Cricetulus griseus: one gene and its partners. The protein of the gene in region 4 interacts with the protein of the main gene of each other region in a pairwise test. Links are inferred from orthologs where the notes say so. Each region holds a gene or a part of one and is shown on either strand. Other genes may lie near its edges.

What was found.
Region 1: the proteins of Kctd9 (region 4) and Gem interact in binary tests that used the Homo sapiens proteins (3 or more experiments, as listed by UniProt). The two-hybrid records come from large-scale screens. The link is inferred for Cricetulus griseus from reciprocal best matches to the Homo sapiens genes KCTD9 and GEM.
Region 2: the proteins of Kctd9 (region 4) and Nup35 interact in binary tests that used the Homo sapiens proteins (3 or more experiments, as listed by UniProt). The two-hybrid records come from large-scale screens. The link is inferred for Cricetulus griseus from reciprocal best matches to the Homo sapiens genes KCTD9 and NUP35.
Region 3: the proteins of Kctd9 (region 4) and Syt6 interact in binary tests that used the Homo sapiens proteins (3 or more experiments, as listed by UniProt). The two-hybrid records come from large-scale screens. The link is inferred for Cricetulus griseus from reciprocal best matches to the Homo sapiens genes KCTD9 and SYT6.
Region 5: the proteins of Kctd9 (region 4) and Trim42 interact in binary tests that used the Homo sapiens proteins (3 or more experiments, as listed by UniProt). The two-hybrid records come from large-scale screens. The link is inferred for Cricetulus griseus from reciprocal best matches to the Homo sapiens genes KCTD9 and TRIM42.
Region 6: the proteins of Kctd9 (region 4) and Ehhadh interact in binary tests that used the Homo sapiens proteins (3 or more experiments, as listed by UniProt). The two-hybrid records come from large-scale screens. The link is inferred for Cricetulus griseus from reciprocal best matches to the Homo sapiens genes KCTD9 and EHHADH.

What each region holds. Positions count from the first base shown.
Region 1 is NC_048595.1:125,838,046-125,842,085, reverse strand, and holds the start of Gem (GTP-binding protein GEM), read right to left. Parts: upstream 2,801-4,040; 5' UTR 2,644-2,800; intron 1,161-2,643; 5' UTR 1,152-1,160; coding exon 824-1,151; intron 1-823. UniProt on the Homo sapiens protein: Could be a regulatory protein, possibly participating in receptor-mediated signal transduction at the plasma membrane. Has guanine nucleotide-binding activity but undetectable intrinsic GTPase activity.
Region 2 is NC_048599.1:94,462,575-94,466,687, reverse strand, and holds the start of Nup35 (nucleoporin NUP35), read left to right. Parts: upstream 1-1,313; 5' UTR 1,314-1,396; coding exon 1,397-1,436; intron 1,437-4,113. UniProt on the Homo sapiens protein: Functions as a component of the nuclear pore complex (NPC).
Region 3 is NW_023276806.1:53,374,361-53,378,643, reverse strand, and holds the start of Syt6 (synaptotagmin-6), read left to right. Parts: upstream 1-1,483; coding exon 1,484-1,646; intron 1,647-4,283.
Region 4 is NW_023276807.1:222,739,189-222,742,688, forward strand, and holds part of Kctd9 (BTB/POZ domain-containing protein KCTD9), read left to right. Parts: intron 1-2,944; coding exon 2,945-3,050; intron 3,051-3,500. UniProt on the Homo sapiens protein: Substrate-specific adapter of a BCR (BTB-CUL3-RBX1) E3 ubiquitin-protein ligase complex, which mediates the ubiquitination of target proteins, leading to their degradation by the proteasome.
Region 5 is NC_048597.1:205,877,635-205,881,134, reverse strand, and holds part of Trim42 (tripartite motif-containing protein 42), read left to right. Parts: coding exon 1-564; intron 565-3,500.
Region 6 is NC_048597.1:67,163,130-67,166,629, forward strand, and holds part of Ehhadh (peroxisomal bifunctional enzyme), read left to right. Parts: intron 1-2,111; coding exon 2,112-2,216; intron 2,217-3,500. UniProt on the Homo sapiens protein: Peroxisomal trifunctional enzyme possessing 2-enoyl-CoA hydratase, 3-hydroxyacyl-CoA dehydrogenase, and delta 3, delta 2-enoyl-CoA isomerase activities. Catalyzes two of the four reactions of the long chain fatty acids peroxisomal beta-oxidation pathway.

The DNA of each region.
Region 1 (4,040 bases), on a different chromosome or scaffold from region 4:
AACTGATCATTAGAGCGGTAATTTCCACCTCAGAATATAAAGCTATTACCTGTGGTTGTATATCTTTTTATAAACTATGTCTAGAATTAGAGAAGGATTGAATAAATAAATAGTCAAAATAAGACCAAACAGAGAAAATCATCTGGAAAACCTATCAGACTCTACACAGGGCATCTTTCATCATTTTTATATTTCAGTTTTTTTAAATTATTATGTTACTTCAAGTATAGCGTTTGACCTAATTATACTTGTAAATGCTTCTAATATCAATGGGCACAAGCTAATTGATGCACTCCAACAGGTTTTTTTTCTTTCCCTGAAATCAGTTTGGTTTTATGCATAAACACAGAAAAGGTGTCTGTACTGGTCAGCTCTTGAAAAGTAGTCCAGGTCAGGGTCCACCTCCCTGGACCCCGAAGACTTGACCTCAGAAAGTCCCTCGATGGCTCAGGTCATAGATCTTGGTGCTGTGTACCTTATTCATTTCTTTTCTTTTGTGTCCTGAGGACATATGCTGGGACTTAGGGTTGGCCTCTGCTACCCATCTCAGTATCAAGTATCTCATTTTCTCCTAATTCTGAAGATACATTTTGTTTTGGTTTATTATTTTTTGAGACAGAGTTACACAGCCCAGGCTAAACTCAAAGCCACTATGTAGCAGAAGATGACCTTGAATTCCTAGTACTTTCACCTCTGCCTTCCCAGTGCTGGAATTACAAGTGTAATTCTAATTAACTGTAATTCCAATTCTGGCTTCCAATTCTGCAGAAAAATGACCCAATCACTTTTGCTTTTTCAGCTTACAAGACAGAAGCCCACCTACCTCCCAGGACCTCACAGTCACTGTCCATGCTGTCATGTACACCTGCGAAGATGTTGGCCAGGGTGGACTTGCCTACCCCTTGCTCCCCTATAAGCACCACTCGGTAGTAGGTGTTTCCTGACTCAGAGGAGATGACAGAGTCTGTGGAGTCGGAGGACCAGCTCTGTCGGCAGTGGTCTTCAGGAGTGGTAGAGCGGCAGCTGCGGAGGTTCCAAGGGTGAGGATCCTTCTGGACCATCAGATGCCTGCCATCAGCAGGGATGCTCCAGCGCTGCTGTGGCTGCATGCCCACAGTGCCCTGGCGCATGGTGACATTATTCAGAGTCATTGTGGGGTCCTAGGAAGCAAAGCAGTCAAGATGCCAATATTAGCAAGGATGAGCTAGGCCCAAGGAAGTCCAAATACTGTTGTCAGTGGCATTCCATTTGATTGGTATGAATTAAGCATCCTTTTTTTTTTCTTTTTTTTTCTTTTTTTTTCTTTTGGTTTTTCGAGACAGGGTTTCTCTGTGTAGCTTTGGAGCCTATCCTGGCACTCGCTCTGTAGACCAGGCTGGTCTCGAACTCACAGAGATCCTCCTGCCTCTGCCTCCCGAGTGCTGGGACTAAACGTGTGGGCCACCAACACCCAGCAAGCATTCTTAATATAAGGAGCACCCATGAAGCAGTCCCCAAGGCCCTAGCATGCAAATCTTACACACACACACACACACACACACACACACACACACATACACACGCAGCTTCTTAGGCAGGCTGTCATTTGCATTTCCAATAACATCACCAACTGCCTATAAGCAACCTCCATCCTTAAAGAAACTTTGAAAATCCCACTGGGAGGTGGCACAGAGGCAGCTGGAAGGAACCCACTGCCTCCAGAAATGGCTTTACCATCAGCAACAAGTCAATGTTGCTGGGGACCAGCTGGCCAGGTTAGCTGCTCTTGTCTAAACATGGCTCTTAATTGCACCAGCGTCTTGGAGCTTTTGGGGCCTCAGTGGGAGGCACGTGGCAATGACATCACTCCCCTGGCTGGACCGGACAGGCACTTTGGGGGAACTTCCATGTTTAGTAAAGTTGCCCTGATGTTCTCCAACTGCCTGAAGAGAACATTACTTGGGAGTGGGGCAGTTTGTGTTTAAGGTTTATGCCTTACCTCTGCCCTCTTGCCCACAGATACTGTTTAGCATACTAGCCCTGAGCCTAGTCCTTCTCACACTGGCAGGACCTGCTCACATTTGCACACATCAACTTGTGCAGAAAGGGCTTCATTCTTAACGAACCTCGTCTACACCAAAATTTATTTAGTTAGCTCAATGTTCCACCCTCTTGAGGTAAATCAGAAGGTCAAAGACTCAACGAAAAGACACTCAACAACTTCTTACTACTTTCTCCTTGCAACACCTCCTTGCTTGACAAGTCTGTTCTGTCAAGACTTCCCTAGAGAACACAGAAGCAGTTAACTCAGCAAGCGCCCCGCGCGAGCGCTAGGATCGCACTGAGCTCACACACCCTACTCCACACCCCAACTCCTAAGCCACTAGCCAGAACCAGTCGGTTTCTTTTTAAGTCATAAAAACAGTCCCTGATTGATGGCCGCCTGGCCACCTAATCCTTAAGGTGACACTCCTCCGGGACTGAATCAAGGAACCCCCATGAGAAGTATGTCCTCTGCACCTGAACTTTTCTCCCATGGCAGAACCTCCGGCACAGACCTCATGGTCCGGGGGCTCCCTTCCCAACTTAAAAAGTTCAGTGGCCCGGAACTCCCCTCCCAGACGCGGCTCCCACCGCGACTGCCCCTCCGCGATGCCCCCTTACTTGGTTGCACCCGGCCACAGGGTCTGCAGTCGGTCGGCACAATGCCTGCTGCCTGCTGCAATGCCTGCCGCCTGCGATGCGATGCTGGCTCCGCAGCCCGAGACCGTGTGGTATCAGCCGGCAGCGCCGCCTCCTAAAGCCACCTCGGCCAGCCACCGCCGTTTATAGCACGCCCGGCGGCCCCGCGACAGGGCTTTTCCGTGACGTCAGCGCTCCCGCTGGGAGGGGGCGGCGCTGCAGCAAACTCTTAAGTTGCAGCCACTTGGCTAAATCAGTTACTAGCAGTCATGTGATTACCCTCGCCCCTTGAGGGGAGAGAGGGAAAAAAATGACAGTTCAGTCCTTGGCCTCCTTGATTTTGTTTTATTTTCTTTTTACCAGGTGGACACTGGAAAAATACACTTAGTGCTACTTAATCGCCCTTCCCAGCAGGGCACTTGTGAGCTGTCTGAATAAAGGATGGGGAAAGAGACAAGCCTGAGTTGCCGCGAGTCCAGCTTTGCCAAGAAAGCAGATCAGCCTGAGTGAGCAAGACTTCTGCCTCCAGGCTACTCTCACACTGGGTGGGCAGGCCAGTTTTACAGCATGCTCTGAGAGGCAATGGGCTCTCCTGCTTCCCATCACCTTCTCTCTGGGGTGGGGAGAGGGGAGCACCACACTACTTTGTTTCCCTCTTCTGGCTGGAGACCCAAAGAGAAGGGGCCAGAGGAAAGAGCTGGGGAAACCTTGGAAAGGGCAGTTTGGCTCCAAACAGCTTGCGATAAACATTCCTGTTCTGGCCACAATGCTGACGTTTCTCAATCAGAAATTTAATCACATCCCAATTGGTGCAACTCAGAACCTAGCTGCATGGCTGGAACTGTGCCCTGGAGCCTGGGCTTCCCAGCCGTGGGGAGATGATCAGGCCCAATCCCCTGAGAGTCCTGGTAGTGAAGGACACAAGATCGCAACTGCTATTAACATTTGCTAGGATTTCCAAAAGCCTGTGGTACTGGTGGGCCCGGGGACCTTGCTCCTTACCACAGTCGTAGATTGAGGAACTAGAGATGCTGCAGGATATCAGGGCCGGTGGCAGGGGCAGCATTTAGGACCTAGTTTGAGTAACTTTTTACCTGCACCACTAAGTGACCTCTTCCCCAGGACCTGGGTATTTCCCAGGGACATGGGCATTTCCCACATGCTGTGTTTAGAGTCCATGCTAGCCTGTCCAACACATCCATCTGCTTCTCTAGCCAACTTCTGCTCTGGGTTGCCTGGGAAGCAGCCAGCAACACCAGTGTCTCTTGCAGAGGCTGTGGGTACAATGGATTATTCCCAGTTTTCCTTGGGCATCTATCTGATTTGGGAATTATGCAAGTGACTGGCTTCTGAGGTCTGTCAAGGACCAAGCTGGCAAA
Region 2 (4,113 bases), on a different chromosome or scaffold from region 4:
ACTGCTGTGAGGTAATTAACTGCTTGCTCTCAATTTTGAAAACCTTCTTGTCACTGTGGAACTGTGACAAGATAGTTTCTTATCACTGTCTAACAGGAAAGAGAAATAACTGAGAGAATAAAGCAGTTTTCTCACCCAGTCATGGATTCCATAAAGCACAAGATAATTGTAATCCCCACCTTTATGAACCCTTCCTTTAGCTTCATTTGGCCTAGCATGCTTTTTGGCTCTAAAATTGTCATCCTTCTGCTAACAGTAAGAAGAATATATCAATTTAATCCAGATTTGATTAGTCTAAGTCTTTGGTCTTTCCCAGTGGACTTGATCACCACAATACTATCATTTGACTACAGTAATAAAAATCCTCCCAGATTTAGGATTTTAGAAAGCTTGGAAATAGCAAAAGATATGTCAATGTTTTGGGAAGGTTGGGAAAGGCTCAGAGCATATTCCAGAATATAGAACACGAAGCACATTAATTTTTTAATTAAGTTTGCAAACAGTGAAACTTAAACATTTTAACTTATGCATCCTATGTACATGTGTATCATTAATACATGAATATACCCTAAGGAAAAAACAGCAGGATGAAGGGGGAAGACAGGAATGTCATGGGCAGAATGACCTTTATTTACATATTTTTAAAGTCTATATTCTTCTGTATGTATTAATACACAACAAACTGGTTGTGATTTAATATGAAATTGTGCCTACATACATAACACAACATTTAATAGAAATGACATCTAGATAGAAGAATACTTTGAGAAATGAACGTCCTATATCAAGTGCAGAAACAAAGTTGAGAAAAAGGAATATACAGTTTCATTAAGCCTACTTTCCCAGGTGTTAGGAAAGTGGACAGTACATTGGGAAAACTCACACTAATATTATCAAGTGAGCAAAGATTTTCTTCCTTCCTTCCATCCATCCTTCCTTCCTTTCTTTCTTTTTTTTTTTTTGTTTGTTTTTTTGAGACAGGGTTTCTCTGTGGCTTTGGAGGCTATCCTAGAACTAACTAGCTCTTGTAGACCAGGCTGGTCTCGAACTCACAGAGATCCACCAGCCTCTGCCTCCCAAGTGCTGGGATTAGAAATTTCTTCTATGAAGCACAAACACCAACATATCAGGAAGCCTGAGGCTTGACCAAAGCCATTCTCGTAGAACGAGGTCTCCTAGTGTTCCTTGCATCCCTAGTAAGAACCTTTCTTAGACTCGCAGCCCAGGCAAAGAAGTTTGCCCTCTTCCAAAATGGCGGAAGCAGCCACAGCCGCCGCAGAGAGCATGGTCGGAAGTTACGCCACCCATAAGGCCGCGCGGCCTTAACCGTGAGGAGAGTTTCCGCCATTTTTGAAAAGTGGGACCGTTCTTGCCGGAGTGGTGTTGGCCGTTTGCGATGGCAGCGTTTGCTGTGGATCCCCAGGCGCCCACGCTGGGTGAGTGAGCCGCGGCCGCCCCTGGCACAGCCAGCGCGCTGTGGACAGGGGGACGGCCGTCGAGCACCACGGAGGGAGAGGGAAGCGTTGTGGTCGGTGACACCGAGGTACCCGGGAGCCCCGCACTGCGCCCGGCCCCGGTGTGGTCCCTGCCCCGCACCCCTAAAGCATGCGCGTGGGTGGGCGGTGACCCCCGGGGCCCGGGGTTGACCCGCCGCCGCCGAGCCACCTAGGTTTCTGGGTCCCTGTCAGAAGGAATTTTTGTGTGAAAGCCAGACCTAGAAACAGCCCGGCTCCCCTCGCCTTCCCCGCCCTTTGCTTGGGAATGGGGCTCTCTCTCTGTTGGAGGACTGGCGAGTCTAAAGAGTCATTCCCATTATTTGCTGGGGAAACGTTCCGAATGTGCCGTCTTTGGAAGGGAAAAAGAAAAAAAAAAAAAACTAGTAAGTTAGCATGCCGATTCCCCACCCCCGTCGAGTTTCGTGAGCAATGACAACGGTCATACTTTACAATAGGAAAACAAAAACAGCCAGTCTACAGTTGCATAGACTTGTAACTACAGTTGCATAGTTTATAAATACTAGTTTATATAACTTTCTGAGCTTGGAGAAGATTGCAGACATGGCATATATGGTGCAGCATTAGCTTTGTAGATTCAAGGGGGTATGTAATGCTTGCCATGTTTTGGGTAAAAAGTTTCTTCTAAGACTAGCTAACGAATTGGATTTCTTTTTTTCAGCGTGTCATGCAAACTGAACCTATAAGGTTAATTATGTAAATACACTGTTGCATTAGAACTTGTGCCCAGATGTTGACCTAGGTAATTTTCATAACTTCCTTAGCGGGTCCAGGTTTTTCTGTTCAACAGTGAGATTTTGGAGTGCACGTTTGCTGGGGTAATAAATATTGTGAACAAGCACATCCTTGTAAATTGCTTAGCCAAGACTGCCATTCCCTGATATTAGTTGTTCAGGTTCACATGTTGCACGTTATCTGATGGTTTGACATTCTCCCAGCCCCTTCTCGCCGCACACTGCCCTGAGTGAAACAGTGTGATCCTTAATATTTAGTGGCATTTAAGACATTCAGGATGTAGTCATTAAGCTTTCTTTTCTTTTCTATTTTTTTTTCCCCTGATTTTATGAGACAGGTTTTCTCAGTGTAGCCTTGACTGTCCTGGAACTCACTCTGTAGCCCAGGGTGGCCTCAAACCTACAGAGATCCGCCTGCCTCTACCTCCCGATTGCTGGATTTAAAGGCGAGCACCACCACCACCGCTCCGCATCATGCTTTTAAGTCTAGCCATGAAGGAAGGGATATTTAGTGACAGTCTGGTTTCCTACTTTATCACGATGCATTTAGGGAACCAGATTTTTCTTGATCTAACTAGATTGTTTACTTTATATGACGTGCACCTGTATGTATGTTTGTGTGCCCTGAGGACTGACTTTAGGCTTAGTGGCAAGGGCTTTTACCCACTGAGCCACCTCACCAGCCCTTGACCTAATTCTTACATCTGTCATAATTTCCCTTCCCCTTTGTAGAGGATAGAATGAAGGTAGTTTGTGTTGTTACCAAAAGCCTTGTATTTTGTTACTATAGTTTTCTAAATATCTGTTCAGATATGCCTTTTTTTGAGACTTCTGGTTTGAGTTTAATGTTATTTTGAAATCTATAGTTATTATTAGATTATTAGCACTGTGTAATTATTAATTCATGGAAGAATTACAGTATAGCTTTTCTGTTGTTGTTGTTGTTTATCAAGACAGATTTTCTCTTTATCAAGACAGGGTTTCTCTGTGTAGCTTTGGAGCCTGTCCTGGAACTAGCTCTTGTAGACCAGGTTGGTCTTGAACTCACAGAGGTCTGCCTGCCTCTGCCTCCCGAGTGCTGGGATTAAAGGATTAAAGGGTGCGCCACAACCACCTGGCTAGTCTGTGCTTTTCTTATTGCTTATTTTTACTCTAAAATTCAGTTATAATTTCCTCATCTTCATAGTGGGAGTAGTCATAGCTGCCATTTGAGAAGGTTAATTTTTTTAAAAAATGTGTTTGTTTTTATTTTATGTGCTTGGGTGTTTTTGCCTGCATTTATCTCTATGTACCACGTGTGCCTAGTATCTAAAGAAACCACAAGTGGGCATCACATCTCAGGAAACTGGAGTTTTGTGAGCCACCATGTGGGTGCTGGGAATCAAACATGGGTCCTCTGGATATAGCCAGTGCTTTTAAATACTGAGGTCTCTCTTCAACTCTAGAATTTAATTTTGAGTTGATGATTATGAGGTGTTCACTTAGGGAAACTTTTGTTGATTATAGTTCTCCAAATAATTTTTTTAAATAAATGATAAATGATCTAAAAGTAAGTTTTAAAACTCTTTTCACTAGGGGCTGGAGAGATGGCTCAGCGGTTAAGAGCACTGGCTGTTCTTCCAGAGGGTTCAATTCCCAGCACCCACATGGCACCTCATTAACTGTCTATAACTCCAGTTCCAGGAGATCTAACACCTTCACACCAATGCACATAAAATAAATTTAAATAAACTAGTTTAAAAAAAACCTCTTTTCACTATATTTCTGAGTTAAAAGGCAAATTATAACATTATTAGTGTTGTAATGTTCATGATTTCCTTTTTATTACTGAAATAATTCACTGTTTTATATATAGGGAAGAAGAG
Region 3 (4,283 bases), on a different chromosome or scaffold from region 4:
TCAAGCCTCCTCAGTTCCTCCTGCCTGAAATCCTCCATCTCTTTATGGCAGACTCCAGGGACCCGGGTGGAAGCTGAGAACCGGCTATAATTAATTGCCCCTCCCCGTTGTTCCCTAATACATTGCGCACAGGCTGGTTGTACCAATAGAACCTTCAGCACCACGGACAGGGCCTCAGCGTTTTCCTTGCTACACCCGGCCCTTCCTGACTGGGGTTTGCAATTGTAACGGACCTGTGATGAGGCTGGTGCAGAAGGTGCACGATGGGGATCGCCTGGAGTTGGCGCTCCGAATCTCCTCCCTCCGGAACCTGAGTCACAGCCTAAGCCACTTCCAATTAGCGTGTTAATTCGGAGGAAAGACCCTCCTCCCCGACCACTCTCCGTTGCACACTAGCCCCGTAGTTGAAGGTGCAGGAGGAGCTCCAGCTAAAGTTTCTTTCCAAGATGCCACCTCGGGAAGGTGACACATTGGTGATAGGTGAAGGACAGGAATCCACCGTGATAGAACCTTACCGGGCTCGGTCCCCTGGCAGTTAGCAATGGCTCGCAGATTTCCAGGGTTAAGTGAAGCATCCCAACCATCCTGATTCTGAGTCTCACTTCACGGTTCCCGAGGGGAGCTCCTTTTACAGTCTAGCCTTCTATTTAGTTTTCTGTCTTTCTGGCCCTTTTTATGTATGCTTCATAGACAAATATATTATTTCTGGTGGCTTTGGTCTGATGCGTGGAGGTGGGTCTGGTGGGAACCGAACCCCTTCCTGAAATGCTCCCCATTTCTATTCACCAGAAACTTTCTCCTCCCGTTGCCATGGAGAGAGACGGCCGCTGCCTCCGTCTCCATAGCAACGTGCCGGTGCCTCGGACCACAAGACTGTGGGGCTCAGAAAGTCTTTGCAGTTCCCCTCGCTCCGCAGTCTTGGGGTCTTTTATCTCCCAAGCTGAGACTTGGCAAGTCTGGCTAACTTCTCCTATCAACAACCTTGGCAGGGTTCTCCCGCCGTACAGTCTGGCCATCCCTTTTTATGTTGTGTTATTGCGATGCCCACTTGTGTGACATGTGGCAATTTCCCCAACGTTTTCACAAGTACTACCTTTATTCCCAGGGAACTCATGAAGTACCAGTAATCATTACACCTCTTTTACGAAAAGGAAAACTGAGTCCCGGAAAGGCCCAAGGTCACCTCCGCGGTGCTTGCTCGGCTGGCCTTGAATCCTGCACTGTGTGGGACAGCGGGGTTGGAACCTTCCCGGACTCGGGCAGGTCCCTGCGTGTGGAGGGGGCGGTCGAGAGGCGCCAGACTTGCCAGCTGCCGCGGGATGCCACGTGAGGGGCGGGGACCCTGCAGGGAAGTGATTAAAAGCAGAGCCGAACCGCAGGGGGCCGCTGCGGGGAGGGTCTTCTTGGGGCCGCCTTGCCCCGCCCCAGTCCGGCCGTGGTGTGGGGTGCGAGCCACTGCTCCTCAGACCTGAGTGTACGGGGCATGAGCGGGGTTTGGGGGGCCGGAGGGCCTCGGTGCCAGGCGGCGCTCGCGGTCCTGGCCTCTCTGTGCCGGGCCCGGCCGCCCCCTCTCGGGCTGGACGTGGAGACTTGTCGGAGCTTCGAGCTGCAGCCCCCGGAGCAGAGTCCGAGCGCGGCTGACTCAGGTACCAGGAGACCCAGAGCCCCCTCCATTCCTGGATTTTCACACCGGTGGCCTCCCCTTCCCAAGGCACCGGCCCAAGAGCCCCAGAACCTCAGAAGTCTAGCTTGGGGTACCGGCCTGGGCCAGTCCGATGGCTCGCCGCCCACAGCAAGAGATCCGAAGGGGACCCCGGAGAAGAACCCCTTCTCCCCATCACTAATGCGAGAGCTCCGAGATGCGGCACCCATGCGTCCTCAGTTTCCCTTGTGTCTCTAGGCTCATCCTAGGGCCGATCGGCCAGAGCCGTGGAGAGGGAGACATCCTGGGTGCGGAGGAAAGCCCGAGTCCTCCGGGGGTTCCAAAGTCCAGGGCCCCTCAGTGACTGGGTGAAGGCGGGTCGAGCCCCTAGGCTTGGGAAAAACTTGCGTCTGCAGCTGGCACGCGGTCTTTGTGTCCAGGTCTCTCAGCAGCGAGTGGCTGTCTGCGTCTCGCCGGGGGGCTGGGGCGGGGTGGCGTGGCGTACTCCCCACCCCCCGGCACCCCTATAACTCGCTCTCTCGGTCTCTGACTCACTTGGACTCCGGGCGGGTGCGCAACTGAGCCGGTGCCTCTCGCCGACTTTGCCAGGCGGGAACCTCCTGCCCGGGAGGTGCGGACCTTGCGCCGGACGCAGCCCCGGCAGCCGCCGAGTCTAGGCGGCAGCCTGAGCCAAGTCCAGCTCACCGGAGCTGGTGAGTCCCGAGCCCGAGCCCACTGGGGAGGGTCCCGCGTGCAGCCGCGACGTCTCGCGGGAGTCGCGACAACAGGGGTGGCGTGTCGCGCCCTGGCGGCGGGAGCCGCGGGAGTGTCCGCGGCGTGGCAGCCGACCGGCCCGGGTATGTACCTGCTGCACCAGTCTTTGCCGCCAAGCAGCTCTCCCGCTGCAGCGGGATCCTTTGTCCCGCAATTAGGAGGGTCCAGGACAGAGCGAGTATGGGTCGTGTACCTTCCGAGCAAAGGGCCCGGGGCAGCGCGAGGCCCGGAGTGAATGCGGCGTGGGGGTGGGGAAATCCTGCAGAGACTGAGGCGCTGGAGTTCCTTGGGGCTCCGCAGACTCACTGAACCTTGTTCTCGACCGAGACCCGGACTCGGACCCTAGTGGCTCTGGGCCTAGGCTTAAGTGGGAGGTCGCTTCGTGGTTCCATATGGCTGGCGCCGGAAAGAGGAGAGGGGAATGCTAGAGGCAAGAAGATGGTCTCCACTTGTCTCCAGGGACAAGTGGCCAGGGACCACAGGAGAGGTTCTGGGAGCAGGTGCAGGCTGGGTAAGCTCCCCAGTGACCTCAGACTCCAGACCCCTGTTTCCATTTGAGGTTAAAGGTCAAAGATAGATGTAGACTCTAGGTTAGGAATAGAGCCTTCAAGGGAGGGGTAGAGAGGCCGGGGAAGACTGTGTGTACCCTCTAGGAGGCTGCTTGAAATCCAGCCTTGTGTGAGTGGAGCCCACCTCACATCTGTGAGTCATTAGGGGTGCTGCTTTTCTCTCTGGCCTTCTCTGGCACTATTTAATCAATGAGTTGATGACTGCAGCAGAAAAGACCAAGACTTAAGGAACTTTTGCAAGTAGGACCGTGATTAAAGTTGGCTCTCCCTCTTTGGTATTCTCAGAACAGATTAGACTGTCATTGGACACCGTTTCTCTGGTGACATCTCCTTCTCCCCCCCACCCCCCAACTCCATACACTTCCAAGACAAAAATTTCCTCAAGTCAGTCTCTTCCTATCTCCCTCCTTTCCTTTAGCTCCCTCCCATCTTTTCCTCAAGCGCTCCATCTGCAGTGGAGTCTTCCCTCTGGGCTTGATACCTCAGAGAATGGAGGGCCAGAACACATCCACAGAGTTCTGCACTACTACTTGTCCACCGCAAAGATGCTGGGGGTGGGGGTTGTTGTGTGTACCTTTGGGGGAGACACTGGTATTGATGCTGGGGGCATTGGAGGTTGTTGTGTGTACATATTGGGAGAGACACTGATATTCTGATTCCCAAAAGATTCCTTGAATCTGAATTTCCAAGCTGAGATGAGTGAAGCCTGGGCAAGAGACAGGGTACCACATGAATCAGTACCCTGGCCTAATGTGAATTTGAGTTGTATAAACTGCCCTGACCCCAAGGAGCCTTAACTTGATTAATGTGTCTGTCACAAGCCCCAAGAAATCCTGAGGCCAAGTTAGGACAAGAGATGCAGGCAGACAGGGAGCTGGATCACACCACGAGAAAGTGGCTCAGCTGGCTCCAGGACCTTGGGGATTTAGGTGAGCAGTAGGTCTACAGAGATGCAGTGTTCAGGCCAGGGTGCCAGACCTTCCAGGTCCCAGCCTTCACTTTGTTCTCTATCTAGGATCTGATTCTCCAACCAAAGCAATGCTAGATTTTTCCCCAGTTTTATGGGGAAAAAAATGCAAGTGGGCAGAGTATGCTCGGCTTCCTTCCCCATCTTACCTTTTCCCCTGCCTTCTGCCAGTTCTGAAGTGTCTAACTCCCAGGATTCCCTGAGCTTCACCAGTTGAGACTCAGAGTCCACTGCCATTTGCACAGACCTTCCCATAGGCCAGGGTCTGGGCAAGGAATTGCATCAGAAATCTCGATGAATCAGACCCTGACTTGGAAAGATCTATACTGAA
Region 4 (3,500 bases):
CCAGTAACAAATTAAATTCTTTATCTCAGGGTTCTAGTATGTTTTGTTAATTAATTGTATCAGGTATAGCATTTTGCTTTTGATAGTTGAGTTATTATAATTTTGGTTTTATTCATTAGTTCAGCCTGTTTACCCCAACTTCTATATCAAGTCTAATAAAAAAAAATCACAATTTAGGCAGTACACATTTTAGATACAGCTACTCTCTCTGTTCTACCTCAGGCTGAATGGTCCAGTTTCAAAATAGGCAGAAGACATAAAACTAACAGCTTAAAGGCAAGTTTCAAGGAGTTAGCCTTTATTGAAATGTTGGAAGACTACTTGGTTTGAGTAGGGACATAAAAAGATAAAGACAGATTTAATCATTTCAAAACAACTGTTTTTCAGATCTATTTAGTTAAGGTGTTCTTGTGAACTGAGACATAATGTTCTCTGTATACTAGAACTCAAGAATCTTAATCTGCCTACCTTAAATAGTGGATGTGAAGGCCAGTATATATTTCTCATATAGTGAAATGTTATAGGAATGTAAGTTAATTACTGCTGATAAAGTTGGCTTATATTGAGGAGTGGTGCTGAGTTGTAAGCTATGAGGGTCAAAGCTAACTTCTCATTGCCTTTGGTATTTGAAGGTGGCCATTGATTAATAGCCATGAATATTGCAATGTTCATAAAACAAGGTATGTGTTGAGCATTCTGCCACAAAAGGTGCCCCTAGGGCTCCCATCTTTTGTTGAACTTCTCACCCAGTTTATCATTTTTGCTTCTTTCCATCATAGCCCCTGAACCTTTTGACTGTAAACCATAGGTGATCCCTGTTGCCATCACTGTTAAGGAGTCCATACCTTGCATCACGCCTAAGGTGTTTCTTCTGCATACTTTGCTTGTTTTTGGCTTATCTGGCTGCATAGAGGCAGATGATTCATTTCTTGTCTCCACTGCATATTCCCAGTACAGCCTTATGGATTGATAGGAACTTAGAGTACCAAGAACTGGAATGCTTGCTTAGTCTGACCTTGTTTTATAGGCTGATAATCTGTAGCTTAGAAACTTCCCAAGGGCCAGAAACCAGTTATTAGAGTAGGAACTAGAATCTAAAGTGTGTTTTCTTTGTAATTTGGTTTTATTTTAAAAGGACTGTTTCATTTGGAAAATACCAAATATTTATAAAATTTAATAATGCAGTGAATCCCCATTTTATCTTTGTCCATTAACCTCAGCAAACACTAGCATGTTGTCAACTTTCTTTTATGTGTATCTTACCACAGAATATTTTTACACAGCACATTACTTCAATATATGTGTGTGTTCAAAATGTATAGAATTTTATCTCTTAAAGATAAATGTCATTTAAGAAGCATAGTATATATTTTTAAAATAACAGAAAATGACCTAACTGGTTTCATCAAAACACATTGCCTCTCTTGATAATGCAAGACAGTTCTTATAAATATGGTACTGCTGTTACTAGCTGAATTGTACATTCTCAGAAATGACAACCTGAAGTGCTTTGCATGGCTAAAGATTGAAAAATTTACTACAGTTTCTCCTGTATTTCCTATTTCATTATATCCCAGAGCACAGCCCTGGATGTAGACTTTTACTTACAGAATTATCTGGGAAATTGGGGTAAATTTTGAATGTCTTATTAAGGATTATTAACAGAAAAAAAAAGTAGTGACATTTATTTGCAGATGGCAGCTTCCTGTCTTGTTAGATTTTAAGGTATATACATCTAGTCATCCCTTAGTTATTTCGATCTCTTAATAGCCTTACTGTATCATTTACCTTGGCAGAGCTTCTATATTATACTTCCTCATTAGGGTCCAGGCATGGAAAGATGGGAGTAAGCAAGTATCTGTCCATTGGCTGTCAGTGGAATGACCTCTCTTGTCTCCTTTTACTGGAAGTGACTGAAGCTTGAGTAAAACTGCACCTAAAAACCAAAGATCTCCCTTAATAAGTATGGCTATAACTTATCCGTCTTAGGATTTTAGACAAAGAACAATTATCATGTATATTCTACATTGTAAATTTTAACACACTCAGCTTCTGTTTTGATTGTCACAATTGTGAAGAAGTACTTAATGTTAGTTTTTACAGAGACACTTGTCATTTTGATCAATACCTCATAATCCAGGCCTTGAAAGCAGTGATTTAACACTTAAACTCACACATGAATTTTCTAACTCTCTGCTCTCCTCATTACGCTTTGTGCTCAGGGTTGGCAATGCCATAGAGCAGTGGTTGACACAGAAAGACTCAAAACAGGTGGTTAGTGTTGTATAGGTAAATGATGAGGTGAATGGTGGCATTAGTGACCTGGCCTCTGAACGAATGGGACGTCAAGACTCTCTTTCTTTCTTTCTTTCTTTCTTTCTTTCTTTCTTTCTTTCTTTCTTTCTGTCTTCCTTTCTTTCTTTCTCTCTTTCTTCCTTACTTCCTTCTTTACTTCCTTCCTTCCCTTTCTTTCTTTCATTCCTCCTTCCTTCCTTCCTTCCTTCCTTTCTTTCTTTCTTTCTTTCTTTCTTTCTTTCTTTCTTTCTTTCTTTCTTTTATTCCTTTCATGATTAGGAAGAAAAATTCTATCCCCTGAGTTTATGTCTTCCTTATTTCACTTACATTTTTAGCTTTATCTTGTGATGTCTAGGGCTATTTACAAGATAGAAATAGGCTGTCATAGTTTAGATTGCACAGCTTTATCTGATCTCATGCTCTATGCAAAATGGACATGCTGTTGTTCATTTGGTGTTTATTTCTTTTATGCAGTTCTTTCAAAAGTTCTCAGTTCTTACTGGGTTTCATTAAAGATATCTTCAAGATAAAACAGAAAATAACAAATTGCAGATGTGTTGACTTGGGCCTTTCCTATTCATTTCTTTCTTATTGCTTGCACAGATGTTGTCAAGTTTAACCCTTACAGCCGGGACTCTTGTGTTCACAGTGCGCAAATCTCCAGGGAGTCAAGATGCTCTGCTCAAACGCAGAAGGCGCATCCCTGAGGCTCTGTAATTTTGAGGATCCTTCCGGTCTTAAAGCCAACTTAGAGGGTGAGAACCTGTCTGCCTGTCCCTGCCTAGAAAGAAACCATTAATTAAAAGTTGTTGTTAGAGGTGAAACAGGAAGGCTGTGGGTGGAGCTTCCTCTGAGGCCAGAACTGGAGAGTCACTTTACTTTGGTCCCAGTCTGTTAAATATCTATCAAACTCTGAACTTTTTAATAGAATAAAATATTCTGTGTTGACAAAAATGAAGAATTTCAGTTTACCCTGCAGTGTTGTGTCAAGTTTTAATACTTCATTAGTGTTTCGTTGTTTACGAATAGGACATTTTATTTACTTAGATTTAGGTGAGATGGTGCTGGTGTCTCCCTTGATCATGATTTTACAGAGTCGTATTAGAAAAGTGCTAATTATCAACAGACAATATTGATTTCTCTCCTCAAAAGTATTGTTCAAGCATTTTATTTTATGCCACAAGAAAATAAATTGCTGGGGCTAG
Region 5 (3,500 bases), on a different chromosome or scaffold from region 4:
AAGGAAGCACTGAAGGAAACCGGACAGGTGGCTTTCCTACAGTCTGCTAAGATCCTGGTAGACCAGATCGAGGAGGGCATCCAGAACACCTTCAGGCCTGACCCTCAGCTGCGGCTGCACTCCTTACAGTGCATCCCCTTGGATTTTGCTGAACTCTCCAGTGCCATCCACGAACTCTTTCCCACCGGACCCAAGAAGGCTTGCTCCTCAGGGGATTCTCTCCCTTCCCAGTATCCTATCCACTCAGAAATGATGATCGCCAGGAAGGTCACGTTCAGCACCCACAGCTTCGGCAACCAACAGATATACCAACGAAGCTCCTCCTTGCTGTCCTTCAGTGCCACCAATGATAAGGCCAAGATGGAGGCCTTTGGAAGGGCCCAATCTACTGCACCTGTCAGACCAACCGACGGCCTTTATACCTACTGGAGTGCCACAGGGGAAACCCAGCCCCCACAGAACAGCAATAGCTTCCACAACTGGTACTCATTCAATGACACCTCTGTGAAGACCCCAGGCCCAATTGTCATCTACCAGACTCTGGTATATCCGAGAGCTGCCAAGGTAAGACAAAGGGATGGTGTTGGGCACAGAACGAAAGCAAGGGGTCAGAAAGGGTTATCTTGGGCTCAAGAAGGTAGTCGCTTGAATCTGCTCCTCTAGACTCTTTGCAGCAGTCAGGCTAGTCAAATAGTGTAGGGTTCTGAAATGTTCATTAGCCCATCAGTGAAATGAAATCATAGTGGTAAGTACATGTAAATCCCCAGCCCTGCTCTACTGAAAAAGAACTGCCTGGGAAGACAGCTCAGAAGGCAAGGTGCTTGCTGTGTAAGCATGAGGACTTGAGTTTGCATCCCCATCATGTATGTCAAAGTCAGGCCTGCATCTATTGTACCAGTGCTGGGGAGGCAGAGGCAGGGATCCCAGGGTTTACCTGATCAGCCAATCTAGTGGAAAAAGTGGGGTGCCAGGTTGAATGACAGATATTGTCTAAGAAATAAGTATGAATAAACAAATAATAAAGGAGCAATGTGATAGAGAGATAGATGGTATCACCACTGGTCTTCAAACTAACAAAAGTCAAGGGAGCGCATGAGCACGCGCGCACTCGAGGGCAGGCAGGCAGGAAGGCACGCACGCGCGCGCGCGCGCACACACACACACACACACACACACACTCATACAGATCATGCCATAAATAAATGAGAGAGAGAGAAGTAAAAAGAAAGAGAATCAAGTTGGAACCAATGTAAGTTTCAAAATGGCTTGGGAGATGGTGAAAGTAGGAAGCAGAGTCTAGGAATGGGTTAGAAATATAGTCTCTTCTGGCTGCCAGCTGTGTGTTCCTCTAAACAGCTACCTCTCTTAAATTCAAGCTCCCTGTGGTTTGGAAAGATCAGAATGATAATGCCCAGGAAAATTCCAATTCTCTGATGAGATCCATCTTCTCTTAGCGGTGATGTGGAAAGTGGGGCACTCCCAAATCTCTGCACCTGTCATCACCTAAGGTCATTGGCCTTGACCTAACATGGACAAATGGTCTTTTCCTTATCATCTCTCTGAAATCCAACTGAGCTTAAATTGAATTGCTTACAGAGTACCTTATTCAAATTCAAAGAGGCAAAGTATTGCCAGGCAACTAAATATTGAATTGGAGAGTTTCTTGCCTCCTTTGAGGTTCCTACAGGGAGATACCTCCCATATTAGTCTGTGGCCTGCTTCCCGATGGCAGAACTCATCTTTTGTCCTTCTCCCAAAGATAATAGGCATCTTGAAGTCTAGACTCATGGTTCCCAAACACTAGCATCTCCTGAAGACCCGTTAGAAGGTAGATTCTGGGTCATTCTGTTATGGGGCCCCAGTGTCTGTCTCTCACAACCTGGGTGTTACTAAGGCTGCTGTCTGAACACTGTGCTTCAGTCGGTAGAGTCTAAACATGAGGAAATCAAGACCAGACAGAGGCCAAGCTTTACCTTCCCATTCTGCCAAGACATTGTAATCCTTGCTTCAGAGGCTTAAAACAAGTACCACAAGAACTATGCCAGGTAGGACAGTGCCCTCCTGGAGACCCTCGAACACAGTACAGTGGCCCTCCCTGTCCTTCACACAAAAGATGCCTGCATAACTAGCTAGGGTATAGGTGACATCAGTGAACTCCTGGTGACAGTGTGCCTCATCTCAGTGCTAACTCAGCCTCACAGGGAGTCCACAACTCCTGCTATGAAGCAGAAGGGCTCCATACTTAGCTCGGAGAAGTCACCTATGCTGCCTAAGAGTTACCCCCTGGATAAGCTTGTAGGGATCACCTACCAAGACAACAAAGCAAGTCACTGCCGCCTCACCTATGGCCAGACGGTGACTTAATGCATAATAATAATGATGGTGATAACAACAATAATAATGAAGATCTCTGATCTAGGGCCTTTCCCAGGATTCATTGTGCTCTACATTGAAAATGATTAAGTCTATGTTGACATAGAGATCCTAGAGATCTTTTAAGTCAATTTGATTTACAGAAATAATTTCTTAAGAAACTACAAAAAAAAAATCAGATGAGAATTTATGCCCCAAAATATTCATTACAGCATTTATCGGAGTATAAAACTAGAAAAACCTGACTACTTGGCTATAGAAATGGTCAGTTATCCTGAACATCGGGGAACTCTTGCTCCCCAGACTGATAGCTGGGATACTAGCATGGGACTGAGCCAGACCCCAGGAACATGGGTTTCAGTGAGGAAATCTCGGAAATCTATGGGACCTCCTATAGTTGTTCAGTACTTATCCCTACCACAGGTGTGGACTTTGGGAGCCTATTCCACATAGAGGAATACTCCCTGAACCAAGATGCACGGGGGTGGGCCTAGGCCCTATCCCAAAAGATATGATAGACTCTGATGACACCCTATGGAAAGCCTCGCCATCTAGGGGGAGCAGAAAGGATATGTGATAGATAGTATGTGATAGGTAGGGTTTTAGTTGCGGGGGGGGGGGGGTGGTAGGGGAGGACGGGAGGGAGAAGGGAACTGGGATTGTCATGTAAAACAATCTTGTTTCTAATTCAAATAAAAAATCTGCAAAAAAATAAAACAAAACAAAAAGAGAACATAAACAAAGAAATGGTCAGTTATTTCTGGAACAGTTTTTTTTTTTTTTAGGCTGTATTACACATATTCATTTTATTTGTGTATGAGCATGAATGTGTGTGAGAGAGAGAGAGGAGAGAGAGAGAGAGTAGATCTGCACATGCTGGAGCATACATGTGGAGGTAGAGAAAGCTGGACAGAGTCAGTTCTCGCCTTCACTGTGGGAATCCTGGGAATCAAAGTCAGGTCATCAGGTTTAACAGCAAGCACTTCACTCTCTGAGCCATCTTGCTGGCCTCTATGGGAGTTGTTAAAGGCAGTGCTTTACCAGATTTTTAACATGTAAGATATGTTAACTGTAAGTTAAGAGAATAAGCCAAAGCCATGCAATCCCAATTACATGCATTAGTGTGT
Region 6 (3,500 bases), on a different chromosome or scaffold from region 4:
ACCACCTACATAACTAGTAGCTCTTTGGAGTCTTTCATAACTTCTAAGAATGTGAAAAGATGAATTTTTTTTAGAATCAATAATAGAGATTTATATGCTCTGATAAAAACCCGACACGAAAACATAGAAACCAATAGTGTGTATGAATTAAAAGTAGCTTCGCTCTTTTAAATGAGGTGTGTGAAAGGAAAATTAGAAGAACTAGATGTATTGAATTGAAATTCACTCAAATAATCGAGTTACACGTTGTTTAATGACAAGTATATTTCAAAAGCCTGTGAGGTATTTGAGGTCATTTCGATTTCTTCAGAGAATGCTTGTAATTCAGCATCCTACAGAAGCGCAAAGCAAAAGACAAAATGGAAGCAGAAGCACAAAATATATGAGAGAGTAACAGTGTCGAGAACTGAATTTACAAGCCCTAAAGTCTGCAGAATTAAGCTTATGAGGAAATTGAAGAAATTCGTCAGGAAGGCAAGAGTACCTTGAGATAAATCAGGAAGAAAAAAATAAAACGACTTCTGTAACAAAGAGAAGTGAAGGTCTTTGCCCACAGCGCTGATTCATAAGATGCTGTTATTGTAGCATCACGAGAAAGAAGCATAATCTCTGAGATTGACAAGTTTTGATTTGCATGGCAAAGGCCCCTGTGAATCAGCAAGTAAACTGGCGCAGGAATCACACACCTGTCTTTTTCAGTGGACAGTGTGATTTGGTGGCCCGGGTTGGCTTTAAAATGACATCTCAGAAAGGTTCCATGAAGACATCGAAATGTTAAGTTTGAGAAAAATTCTTGGAGAAATCTGGAAAGACACATGCCGTAATTGAACATGTGAGAGGCCGGCTCTGCTCCAGTCACTTTGGGGTCTCATCTTCCAGCGCTTTGGGGTTACAGCCTGCTAGACTGAGGTCCAGCCTACACTGTTCGTGATCCAGGAAAAAACAAAGCCAGGGGGCAGGCTTTGGGTTCAGCATGCAGGGCTGTGTTTGCTCCATAGTCGTTTGGAGCAGAACTGGGCCTTTATTAAGGTTTCTCTGTTCAGCCAACTAGTTCTGTATTTGGGGACTGTCTCTGGATCAATACAGTTCCTGGTATGTGGTAGGCATACGGTAGATAGCCCTGTCTATCTGTGGCTACCACTTCTATCACAGTCCAAATCTCAACCAGTTCATACACATCTGCAGAGACTTGCAGGGTTCTATATTTCTCTAAGTATCTAAAAAGACCACTTTTCTTTTATCTAATACTCAGAATTACTATAGTAAACATAATTACTTCCATTTATCAGGCATGGAATTTGATTTCTCGTACAGTTCCCTATGGTTTCTCTAATAATAAGAATTAGAGCTACAGCTTGAATTTAAGTGTCCTGGCTACATTTGTATTGATGTTCAACCACTATAGCCCAGTCCTAGCAGGGTGGAACACACCTTTAATCCCAGTACTCAGGAGACAGAGGGAGGTGGATCTCTGAGTTTGAGACCAGCCTGGTCTGTGTATTGAGTTCATGGCCAGCCTGAGCTACATAGTGAGTGTTAGGATACGGCGTGTGGGTACCTTGTCCGATTCCATGGCAGGCGAACGTGACCGGGGCGGAGGGACAGACACACCAGGCAGACAGTGCTTAAGTGAGAAGTTTTATTAGAAAGGGGAGGGAGGGAGAAGAAAAGAGAAAAGAGGTAAAGAGCACAGAGAAGACAGAAGAGAAGAGGGAGACAGGAAAAGTACTGTCTGGCCAGGGAAATAGCGGGGAAGAGAGTGGGAGAGTGGGGAAGAGAGAGGGAAAGAGCTCATAAGTGGGCGGGGTCTGTCTTTTAAAGGGGTCCTTTGCATCTGCACGCAGGCAAGTAGTCATGGAATGCTGGGCTGACCAAAATACTGCCTGAGTGCATTCTGTAGGGTGATAGGGGCAGGCCAGCATAAAGCCTGAATCCTTACAGTGAGACCCTGTCTCAAAACACAAAACATCAACTACAGTAGTCAGGCTGATCTCATGCATTTTACTTACTAATGGGTATATCCAGGAACGGCCCCCTTCCCCTCCAGAGAGAGCAAGCCCTGGTTCATCCCCACATTGTTCACTGGTTTCTTTTCTTTTCTTTTGTTTCAGGAAGACATATTTTAGCAGGTGAAGCCCTCAAATTGGGCATTCTGGATGAAGTTGTGACATCAGACCCAGTAGAAGAAGCTGTCAGATTTGCCCAGAAGATTATGGGTAAACAATAATTTAAAACAATAGCACAAGATTGGGAATAAGCTAAATGTGCTTTCTAAGGAGGGAACTCCTTAAAAAGCTAATGGGGCATCCATGTAGTACAATGTAGCCAAGCTTTAAATGCTGTATTGATCTGGCTTAAACTCCATGGTATGTTGTAATGTTGTATTAGGCAATGAAGAGAACATCATTTTAGGTGGTGTTTTGTTAACGGTGTAACAAAAAGGAAGGCGTTCTCCAAAAAATGGAGAAAAGGTATGCATGCCAAGAGTCTATACCTGAGGTCTTCCGAAAGCCAAAAAGGAAACGAAGTGATTGCTTCTGGGAGTGGAACTGATGTTTGCTAAAGTTTTAAGGAAACTATTTAGAATTTGTTCTGCTGTACTTTGGGGGGTGTCATGCCCCATGAGTGTTTTTTCTGGTTGAAACATAGAATTAAGTTGAAACACGGGGACAATCATGTAGCTTATGCACTAGAGGATGGGACCTGCAAGGTGTTTCCAGAGGCCATGACCTCTGGAGTTTCTGTCTTGGACAAGTGAGTTCTGTCCCTGCTGGGCATGCAGACCAGTGGTGTTCCTTCAAGTGTCCCTTTAGCACTCGCCTACAGAATTGTTATATTTTTTCGTTTGTTTTGCTTTGGGGGAGGGGTTACTTAAAAACTGTTGCCTTTATGCTGGAAAAAAAAAAGAAAAGTGGGACTGGTGGCATAAACTCCGGGAGACGAGTGCAGAGTCAGTTCCCAAAAGCCTTCCTGCAAGAAATCACGGTAGAAGCAAAAACCATTCAAGTAACCTCTGGGGGAAAGTTAAGGGAGGCTGCATACTCTAACTGAGCAGGGACAAGCTAAAACTTGCCTAAGAAAACACTTAGGAGGATTGCTGGGCTCCAGGCAGAATGGAGTGTGTGCTAGTCTCTGCTTGGTGACAGAGAAAGTTCCAGGTCATTCCAAGACATGCCTGTGAAAAACCGTTAGCCACCTCTGACAGCGACTTTTTTTTTTTCCCCAGAATCTTTTCTATGCCCCAGCTAGTTGGGGTTTCAGTGTGGATGTAGCACTCACACTACAAAGGTGAGGATTCTGTTCTGAGAGCTGAGTTACTTCCAGCAGAGGATAAGGACCAAGGTCTATTACGTATGGTCTGGAGGTGTTTACTCCCTTCAGCTTTTAAAGTTAATTCTAAACATTAAATTTGAAAGTTAATAAAACAAGATGATGGCCAGTCTCAGCAACATTATGGAGTTTGTCCACTAGGTGGCACCCCAACGTCAAGGCATCGTCTG